2 linked regions of the Saccharomyces cerevisiae S288C genome follow. The protein of the gene in region 2 binds, or shares a complex with, the protein of the main gene of each other region. Each region holds a gene or a part of one and is shown on either strand. Other genes may lie near its edges. The genes, in order: RFC4 and RFC1. A codon is read from its position in the direction of its gene.

Region 1 (3,922 bases), 610 kb from region 2:
AATCTGATGGACAATTTCCTTATTTGTATGCGAGTTTTCGAAAATGGACAGTAAATTTTCTATTATACTATCAACTGCTTTGTTTGTTAACGAAAATATAAGTATTTCTTCAGGCTTAATATTCTCCACAGTAATTAAATGTAGTACTTTATATAGTAGCGTTAGCGTTTTTCCTGAGCCTGGGCCCGCAATGACTTTTATCGTAGACGCTGGTTCATATGACTTATTTATTACCTTCCATTGAGATGGAGTTAGCTTGTCCATCTGTCTTCAACGAACGACGTATACCTTCTCTATATTTTTTCTACATATTATGACTATGTAACTGCACTGCGAGTTGTAAGTTTTGATCAACAAACAACTTTAAAGCTTAAATTGTGCAAAAATGAAAAAAAAAAAAAAATTCTGACACATCACAAGGGAAGAGACAAGACAAAGAAGTAGAATTTAAAGTAATGCACTAATATGGGAGTTTTTTTTATAGTTTTCGGATATTTAAATCAGGCTTTATTATTTAGTTTATGAATTTTCGCTAACATACTAGCCAGTTGCAAGTACGTTCCAACACCCTCCAGAATTCTCATATGGGTCAAACCGATTTCTTTTATCATTTCCAATCTTACTGATTCTTTCACTTGTGCTAAGTTTTTGGTAACGCGGAAAGATGTTGTGACGATATCAATCGAGGAATAACCCTTTTTCCAAAGATCTGTTCTTAAGATTTGAATTGAATCTTCTAGGTTGGAGGCTAGTAACATTTTCTTCACTATTAGAGGGTGAGGAGAATCAACAATTTTGAAGACATTGTCTGCGTTCACTAAACCGTGTCCTGCTACTGTACTTTGTAGATTGTTTATGGCCTGTCTCATGTCACCCTCCGCTGTAAAAATGATTGCTTCTAACCCATCATTTGTATACTTAACATCCTCTAGCTTTATGATTTGTAAAAGACGTTTTAGAACGTCTTCATCGGATAGTTTAGAATACCTCAAAATCGCACATCTACTTTGCAGCGGCTCAATGATCTTGTTTGATTGATTACAAGCAAATGCAAACCTTGTAGAGTTCGAATATAGCTCCATGGTCCTTCTCAACGCTTGCTGAGCACCAGCAGTCATGGAATCCGCCTCATCAAGAATAACGATTTTATGTTTCCCTGGAGGCAAATGTAGTTTCTTCTGGGCAAAATGTTTTATTTGGTTTCTGACGACATCAATACCTCTGTCATCTGAAGCGTTCAACTCTAAAACACCGTCAGCATAAGAGCGGCCAAGGAGCTCGTGAGCAAGGCAATGTACCGAAGTGGTCTTACCTATACCTGGCATACCTGATATGATCATATGGGGCATGTTACCATCTTTAGCGATTTGCTGAAGTCTATCAATGGTCTCTTTATTACCGACTATATCAGATAAAACTTGGGGACGGTATTTCTCAACCCATGGAAGTTGCAAAGATAAAGTTTTGGACATTATAAGGGACTTTTTATATCTTCTGGGAAGCTCTGCAATGTTATAATAGATCCAATCAGATTTATAAATGCTACTATTTTACAGTATTTAAAATATGTGGTTGGTTTTCCCACCTTTTTGTCAAGAAAAAACGCGTTTAATCTAACAGTGTGATGTGGTAATGAAAAATTTTCATTGTCTTTAAGAGAGATGGTGATGTTTAATATAGCGTAAAGCTTTCAAGGTAAATAATTAAGTGTCAATCTGCAGGCAAAACAACATGTCCAATGATGAGATAAACCAGAACGAGGAAAAGGTGAAAAGAACACCACCTTTACCGCCTGTGCCAGAAGGCATGTCTAAAAAGCAATGGAAAAAAATGTGTAAAAGACAGAGATGGGAGGAGAATAAAGCCAAATACAATGCGGAACGCCGTGTAAAGAAGAAGAGACTTCGCCATGAAAGAAGTGCGAAGATTCAAGAATACATTGACAGGGGAGAAGAGGTCCCGCAGGAATTGATTAGAGAGCCTCGTATCAATGTGAATCAGACTGATTCTGGGATAGAGATCATACTTGACTGTTCTTTTGATGAGTTAATGAACGACAAGGAAATAGTAAGCTTGTCTAACCAGGTCACCAGGGCATACTCCGCGAATAGAAGGGCGAACCATTTTGCAGAAATAAAGGTGGCCCCATTCGACAAAAGACTAAAGCAAAGGTTTGAAACTACTCTGAAAAATACCAATTATGAAAACTGGAACCATTTTAAATTCCTACCAGACGACAAAATCATGTTTGGAGATGAGCATATAAGTAAGGACAAAATAGTGTATTTAACGGCCGATACAGAGGAAAAGCTGGAGAAGCTGGAACCCGGGATGCGATACATTGTTGGCGGCATTGTAGACAAGAATCGTTATAAAGAATTGTGTCTGAAGAAGGCCCAAAAGATGGGCATTCCTACGCGAAGATTGCCCATTGACGAGTACATCAATCTCGAAGGCAGAAGAGTGTTGACGACAACGCACGTCGTGCAACTCATGCTGAAATACTTTGATGACCATAACTGGAAAAATGCCTTTGAAAGCGTTTTACCACCCAGAAAGCTGGATGCGGAAGCAAAATCCGCAAGCTCTTCGCCAGCTCCAAAGGACACATAGGCAGCCATCACTGTAGTATTATTAGTAACTGAATAGCAAAATAGTAATAGTCTCCGTAGCTACAATAGGTGTATATTGATGTCAGAGATACGGGTTAAACATGCGCAACTGGTAGTAGTTCTTCAAAGGGTGTTTATGCTTATCATAGTACTTGGACATTAGCCGCCGAAACTGGCTCCACTCGAAATCTAAATGGCATTCCCTTTTTAATATTAACAACACCAATCTTAGTGTCCGAGAGGTCCAAATCTAATGTAGGGCCGTGGGAGGATACTTCTTATTTCTCTTTGCTTATTTTGCTTTGATGTTGTATGTGTTTTACCTGTAAATTCTCTAATATGGTCATTTTTGCTCTTAATGACTCTTTTATTTTTACCCGGATTGCAATTTTTCACATATCGTCTTTTTATTCACTACGTACTTTAATCGTCTTCGCGATGATATGTACTGCTAACGAAAGAATGCCATACAAAAAAAAAGCTACCACATCGCTCGACGACCTCAATTATGCAACTTGTGCCGCTAGAATTGAATAGATCCACTCTAAGTGGGATATCTGGGTCCATCTCCATCTCCTGCTGGATCATTGTGTTTGTCCCTCAAATTTACGAGAACTTTTACCGGAAGTCGTCTGATGGGCTGTCTTTATTGTTCGTGGTACTTTGGTTGGCCGGCGATGTCTTTAACCTTATGGGTGCCGTTATGCAACATCTTTTGTCTACCATGATCATTCTTGCTGCTTACTATACGGTGGCAGATATCATTTTACTAGGTCAATGTCTATGGTACGATAATGAGGAAAAACCAGCAGTAGACCCTATTCATCTCTCCCCTGCCAATCCAATAAACGAAAACGTTCTGCACGATGTGTTCAATGAACAACAACCGCTTTTGAATTCCCAAGGTCAGCCAAATCGTATTGATGAAGAAATGGCTGCTCCTTCATCCGACGGAAACGCTGGTGATGATAATCTCCGTGAAGTCAATTCAAGAAATTTGATAAAAGACATATTTATTGTTAGTGGTGTAGTTTTTGTAGGTTTCATCTCGTGGTATGTAACCTACTGCGTAAACTACACGCAACCTCCTCCCGTGGAGGATCCATCACTGCCTGTTCCCGAACTGCAGATCAATTGGATGGCTCAGATATTCGGTTACTTAAGTGCCCTTTTGTATCTGGGTTCAAGAATTCCTCAGATATTACTGAATTTTAAGAGAAAGTCTTGTGAAGGTATCAGTTTCCTATTCTTTTTGTTCGCCTGTTTGGGTAATACCACATTTATTTTCTCTGTGATTGTCATTTCTTTAG
Region 2 (4,775 bases):
TTGATCAACTGAATCTATTGGGATTGACGAACTATGACATGCACATTTTTCCAGACTCTGATCATTCCATCCGGTACCACAACGCTCAAAGAATTGTATTCCAAAAACTATACTATTGGTTAAGGGATGCCTTTGCTGAACGCTTTGACAACACTGAAGTTTTGCATTTATAAAACTTTATGGATGATTGCGATATTAACGATAACGATAGAGACAAACACGCGATTAATAATATAATAATATGAAGTTTCTCAATTGCAACGCATAATTTTGGAATGACATATTAGGTACAAATGTTAGACCTAATAAATGTAATATTTAACGACGGTTGTACGTACAGGTACATTATTTTGTGTACTATACTAATAAGAGTATTTTATATAGGGCGGTGATGATACCCATCGAGCTATTATCACCACACAGTTTTCGTATCTGTGATAGAACGGCTCACAAAATCAATGAGAAGAAAAGTGTAATTATAATCTTAGTGTATGAATAAATCATGCTTTCGTTTTCCTTTTTTTGCTACCACCAGGTTTACTGGTGGCAGTCTTCCTCTTCGTAGGTTTGGCTTTCTGCTTGATAAGTTTATCCTTCTTCAAGTCTGTGCTACTATCTTGTGTTTCTTCATCATCTGCGGGAACTGGATTGTCATCTGCGTCAACGACATCTTCGAAATCGGGGGTGCTAGTACTGGTGCCAACACCACCACCACCAATAGTACTACCTGTTCTGTAAATTGCGACTGGATGTGTCATACTGTTGTATTTCCGCGTGAATCCACTTTTAACCGTAGCTGGTATCTTTTTGATAATGGCTGTGGTCACATCAGGACCTACGAAAAACTCCATAATAGAATCCCAGTCTTCTTTGGTCAAATAGTAATCGTCCATTACCTCTATGACAGATGAAATTGCATCAGCACCTTGCTTCAAAAATGGGTCCAATAATCTTTTTCTAAAAGTTGGTAGGTAATCCAGCCTTAGTCCAATTTTATCAGTAGATGTACCTAGTCTTGTATGATAATGTATCTCTTGCAGTAACCTATAATATTTGGCAGATTTAGAATTTTGGCCCAACCAAGCTGTGAAATTGATTCTTCCCGCCATATGGCCGGCAACTTTTGATGCTGGATAAACAGATGAAAGAACAGCATGCAAAGGCAAAAGACTCCATAATTGCTCACTACTACGAATCTTCTTTTCGACAATATCACCTAATGAAATACAGTTAGCCGCCTCAGCAACTGCTTCCAAATGTGACTGGCCGGGTTTCAAAACGCTTGGTCTTGTAGATAAATAGTTTTCCTGAATCATTAGGGGTGTGAAATCAAAGTCATCAAAATATAATGCGATCTTATCATTCAGTGTAAAGTTCCTTGAACCTATGTCTGAGTATATTTGTCCATCCAACATTTTATGGGCAATGTCAAAGGGTTTTAGGGCAATATTCTTTTCCCATGCCTTTGAGATCTCGTTGATATTTTCATGGTTTATGGTTTTAGTAGTCGTAGATATCGTTGAAAGTAGATTAATAACCTGGCGGATATCACCTCTTGTAGTCTGTATCAACCTATCAATGACATTTGGATCAAGTTTGAACTTTTCTCTGATCGCAATTGTCATTAATCTTGATTTGATACTGTTAGCATCAGGTCTTCTAAATTGGATATCAAGACATACTCTATCGAATGGTCTCATTTTTGGTAAATTACGTTCATTACAAATTAGAATCAATGGAGTTGACGTCTTACGACAAAACTGTGCCAGCTGGCCAACTCCCCCCCTATCGCCTCCGCTCATACCATCAACTTCATCCATGATAATGACAAAATGTTTCCCGTTCAAATTTTGAGCTTCTTCGTTGTGTTTGAAATATCCCACTACAGACATGTTATCAAGAGCGTTTTTAACACCGGCATTAAGTAAAGTTTTAGAGCGAACATCAGAAGCGTTTTGTTCAAGAATGTCATACCCAAGCTCTTGTGCAACTAAATGAGCAGCAGTTGTCTTCCCAATACCAGGAGGACCGTATAACATTGCAGCCCTGAAAACACCAGAGCCATCTTTACCAGCATGTTTAAAACTATTTTTCTTTGAATTTTCCCAATTAGCCAACCAGTTTTTTAATTTCATTACACTTCCTTTGTTACCACAGACCTGTTGTAGATTCGTTGGTGCGTACTTTACTGTCCACAATTTATCTTCTTCCCTAACCACATTGTCTCTCTCCAGATGGCCACCAGAAACTCTAGTGGCTGCAAGCTTCTTCGACCTTTCCTCTTCTTTCTTAACAAGCAATTCTGCTTCTTTGGTAGCAATATTATGCTGTTCTTCTAATTTTCGACGTGCTTTTTCGGCAGCTTCCCCGTCACCACCTTCAGCAGGCATCCCAGCAATTAATTGCTTAAAGCCTTCTTCGTCTATGGCTTTGATTTTCAATTGCTTGATTTTTTCTAGTTTCTTTGGCCCTGCTTCATCACCTAAGACTACTACAGAAGTTTTGCTTGAAATTGATTTAGTAACCCTTGCTCCGTATCTTTTCGCTAAAGCTTCCGATGCACCACGCTCCAAGGTTGGCAGAACACCTGTGAAGACAATTGTTAGACCTAATAAACAATTTGGCTTTCCTTCTGGAAAACTACCTATTTCAGAAACAATTTCATCTGGATCCGCATTTGAATTTGCGCTTTTGAAATCAAATTTAGCATTCTCTTTCACATGAACATTTGACAGATCCAAGGATGGAATCTTATCTAGTACATCTTGAGCCGTAATATTCGAAGCCGAGTCTGAACTTTTAGAGGAGGGTTTGGTTTTTTTTGAACTTGCTGGCTTTACAGTTGGTGAAGAGGCCTTCCTCTTAGCGGGAAGAGGTAGCTTTTTTTCTCCTTCAGGTGTCTCTGATACATCAATTACATTACTTACAGGCATCTTCTTTGGTGTTTTATTGGTTGATTCTTGGTCAGATTCAGTATCTAAGTCGATAACTTCTGGTTTAGACGAACCCACCTGTCTCGTAGGTCTGGATGTTGACGATCTTACGGATTTCTTATTTTTACCAAAGAAATCAGAAATATTGACCATTTTCTTCAGCTTAGTTTATTATGAAGTGACTTGAAGTTATAAAATTAACTGCGAGATACCCAATTCCTTATTGTGTAAGGATCAAGCAGCGTATTCAACGAAGCCACTGTTTTCGCTGAGAGATCGGCTGTTCCTTCTCATGTTGATTTTTTTTTCAGTACTTCTTTTTGAATTTCGTGCTCATTTCGATACGAAAAATGGAAACAAACAGAAAGACCATTCATGAAGAACAAGAAAATCTTGTATAAACAGCTATATAGTAGATGCTTGTGTATACTTTCCACTTGATCCCCTCAAACAATTGCATTTTTTTTAATTAGAATGGGTAAAAATAAGAAGAAAACAGGTAAGAAGGCCAAGAGTCATCCTCATGTGGAGGACGTTGATGAAACCGTCAATAAACCTGAAGAAATCATCAATTCTGTAAACGTCACCGTTCCTCCAAAAATGTCCACAGATCCAGAGGCTGATGGTATCGTGGCAAGCCCGGACGATGAGGGGAAAGATCTCTCTGAAGGAGTAGACAAACAAAAAGTAAATGACGGCCTGACTGTAGACACCATAAATCCTTTAGAGGACAAAAAGGCTGGTGATGAGATGAAGGAACTAAGGGAAGAAATTGAACGTTTAAAATTGGAACTAAGCCACAAGAAGGATCAAGAAACGCCTAATGAAGACTTCAAAAATGAACTAGCAAATGTTATTAAGGAAAGAGACGAATTCAAAACACAGTATGACACATTATTGAGCAAGATATCTTCTATGAAATCAATTTTTAATAAGATGAAAGAAGCACAAAAACAATTAGAGGAAGTGCAGGAGCAGCTTACTGAATATGAATCACAAAATCTGAAATTGAAGAAGAAACTTGAAGCTACCAAGACCGAAAACTCTGAATTACAATCCACGATTGTGACCCTAAATACAGAGTTAGAAAACCTAGAAAAGGAGCAAGAAAGTACAGAAGAGGTTTTTTTGGAATACGAATCAAGGATAGAAGCTTTGGAAGATGAAAAACACGACATAATTGAAAAACATAGTAAGGAACTTAACACTTACAGGAAGGAAAAAGATCAATTAAATCTCCAAGTTCAGGAACTCATGATAATCTTAGAAAATAATAAACAAGATATATCTGACTTGAGAACAGAAAGAGATGAATTGAGACAGGCTTTGGAATCCCATGAAAAGGAGAAAGCAGTATTAAAGAATTCTCTAAATGATCTGGAATTGAAGATAGAAGAAGTTGACAACAAAAGGGAAGAAGAGGCTAGAGAGAGAGACCAGGAAGTCAAATCTTTACGATCCCAACTTGACACGGAGATAGAAACGCACAACAATGACACAGAAGCTTTAGAAAGCATGAAAAAACAGCTAGAAGCCATGAAGGAGGACGCCTCTATGAAGGAAAAATATGAGGAAGAATCTAAGCAGCACATCTTACAGATCGGAAAACTACGTCACGAAGCCATTATACTAAATGAGCATTTAACAAAGGCACTGGCCATGTTGAAGAAATCAAGCGATTCTGAATCCGTTGATAAAGAACTGATATCCAATCTATTGATATCTTTCGTGTCCATACCCAGAGCAGACCCAAGAAAGTTTGAAGTTCTTGAATTACTGTCCAATTTCTTAAACTGGGATGAAGATAAGAAACAACAGGCCGGCTTGATCTCGAATAATGAG

What was found.
Region 1: the proteins of RFC1 (region 2) and RFC4 are in contact, whole or in part, in a crystal structure (PDB 1SXJ), measured with the Saccharomyces cerevisiae proteins. Residues at the interface, in NP_014860.1 of Saccharomyces cerevisiae: Asp295 (codon at 2,204), Lys296 (codon at 2,201), Leu297 (codon at 2,198), Val300 (codon at 2,189), Pro355 (codon at 2,024), Gly356 (codon at 2,021), Thr360 (codon at 2,009), His364 (codon at 1,997), Glu376 (codon at 1,961), Asn378 (codon at 1,955), Ala379 (codon at 1,952), Ser380 (codon at 1,949), Asp381 (codon at 1,946), Val382 (codon at 1,943), Asp424 (codon at 1,817), Glu425 (codon at 1,814), Asp427 (codon at 1,808), Gly428 (codon at 1,805), Ser430 (codon at 1,799), Gly432 (codon at 1,793), Asp433 (codon at 1,790), Asn456 (codon at 1,721), Asp513 (codon at 1,550), Arg515 (codon at 1,544), Gln516 (codon at 1,541), Asn519 (codon at 1,532), Thr526 (codon at 1,511), Thr527 (codon at 1,508), Thr528 (codon at 1,505), Lys529 (codon at 1,502); in NP_014547.1 of Saccharomyces cerevisiae: Glu28 (codon at 1,391), Thr29 (codon at 1,388), Arg32 (codon at 1,379), Gln35 (codon at 1,370), Ile36 (codon at 1,367), Asp39 (codon at 1,358), Asn41 (codon at 1,352), Met42 (codon at 1,349), Pro43 (codon at 1,346), His44 (codon at 1,343), Met50 (codon at 1,325), Ile86 (codon at 1,217), Arg90 (codon at 1,205), Lys94 (codon at 1,193), Pro105 (codon at 1,160), Gly106 (codon at 1,157), His108 (codon at 1,151), Gly122 (codon at 1,109), Gln125 (codon at 1,100), Ala126 (codon at 1,097), Arg128 (codon at 1,091), Arg129 (codon at 1,088), Thr130 (codon at 1,085), Glu132 (codon at 1,079), Ser135 (codon at 1,070), Asn136 (codon at 1,067), Arg139 (codon at 1,058), Asn145 (codon at 1,040), Ser147 (codon at 1,034), Asn148 (codon at 1,031).

Annotation. Positions count from the first base shown.
Region 1 is NC_001147.6:141,084-145,005, forward strand, and holds RFC4 (replication factor C subunit 4), read right to left. Parts: upstream 1,473-3,922; coding exon 501-1,472; downstream 1-500. Other genes in the region: HMI1 (ATP-dependent 3'-5' DNA helicase), read right to left, coding at 1-264; TRM10 (tRNA (guanine(9)-N(1))-methyltransferase), read left to right, coding at 1,732-2,613; YPQ1 (cationic amino acid transporter), read left to right, coding at 3,121-3,922. UniProt on the Saccharomyces cerevisiae protein: Component of ATP-dependent clamp loader (RFC and RFC-like) complexes for DNA clamps, such as the POL30/PCNA homotrimer and the checkpoint clamp DDC1:MEC3:RAD17 complex.
Region 2 is NC_001147.6:747,612-752,386, reverse strand, and holds RFC1 (replication factor C subunit 1), read right to left. Parts: upstream 3,087-4,775; coding exon 501-3,086; downstream 1-500. Other genes in the region: STE13 (Ste13p), read left to right, coding at 1-173; RUD3 (Rud3p), read left to right, coding at 3,408-4,775. UniProt on the Saccharomyces cerevisiae protein: Component of the ATP-dependent clamp loader RFC complex for the POL30/PCNA homotrimer DNA clamp.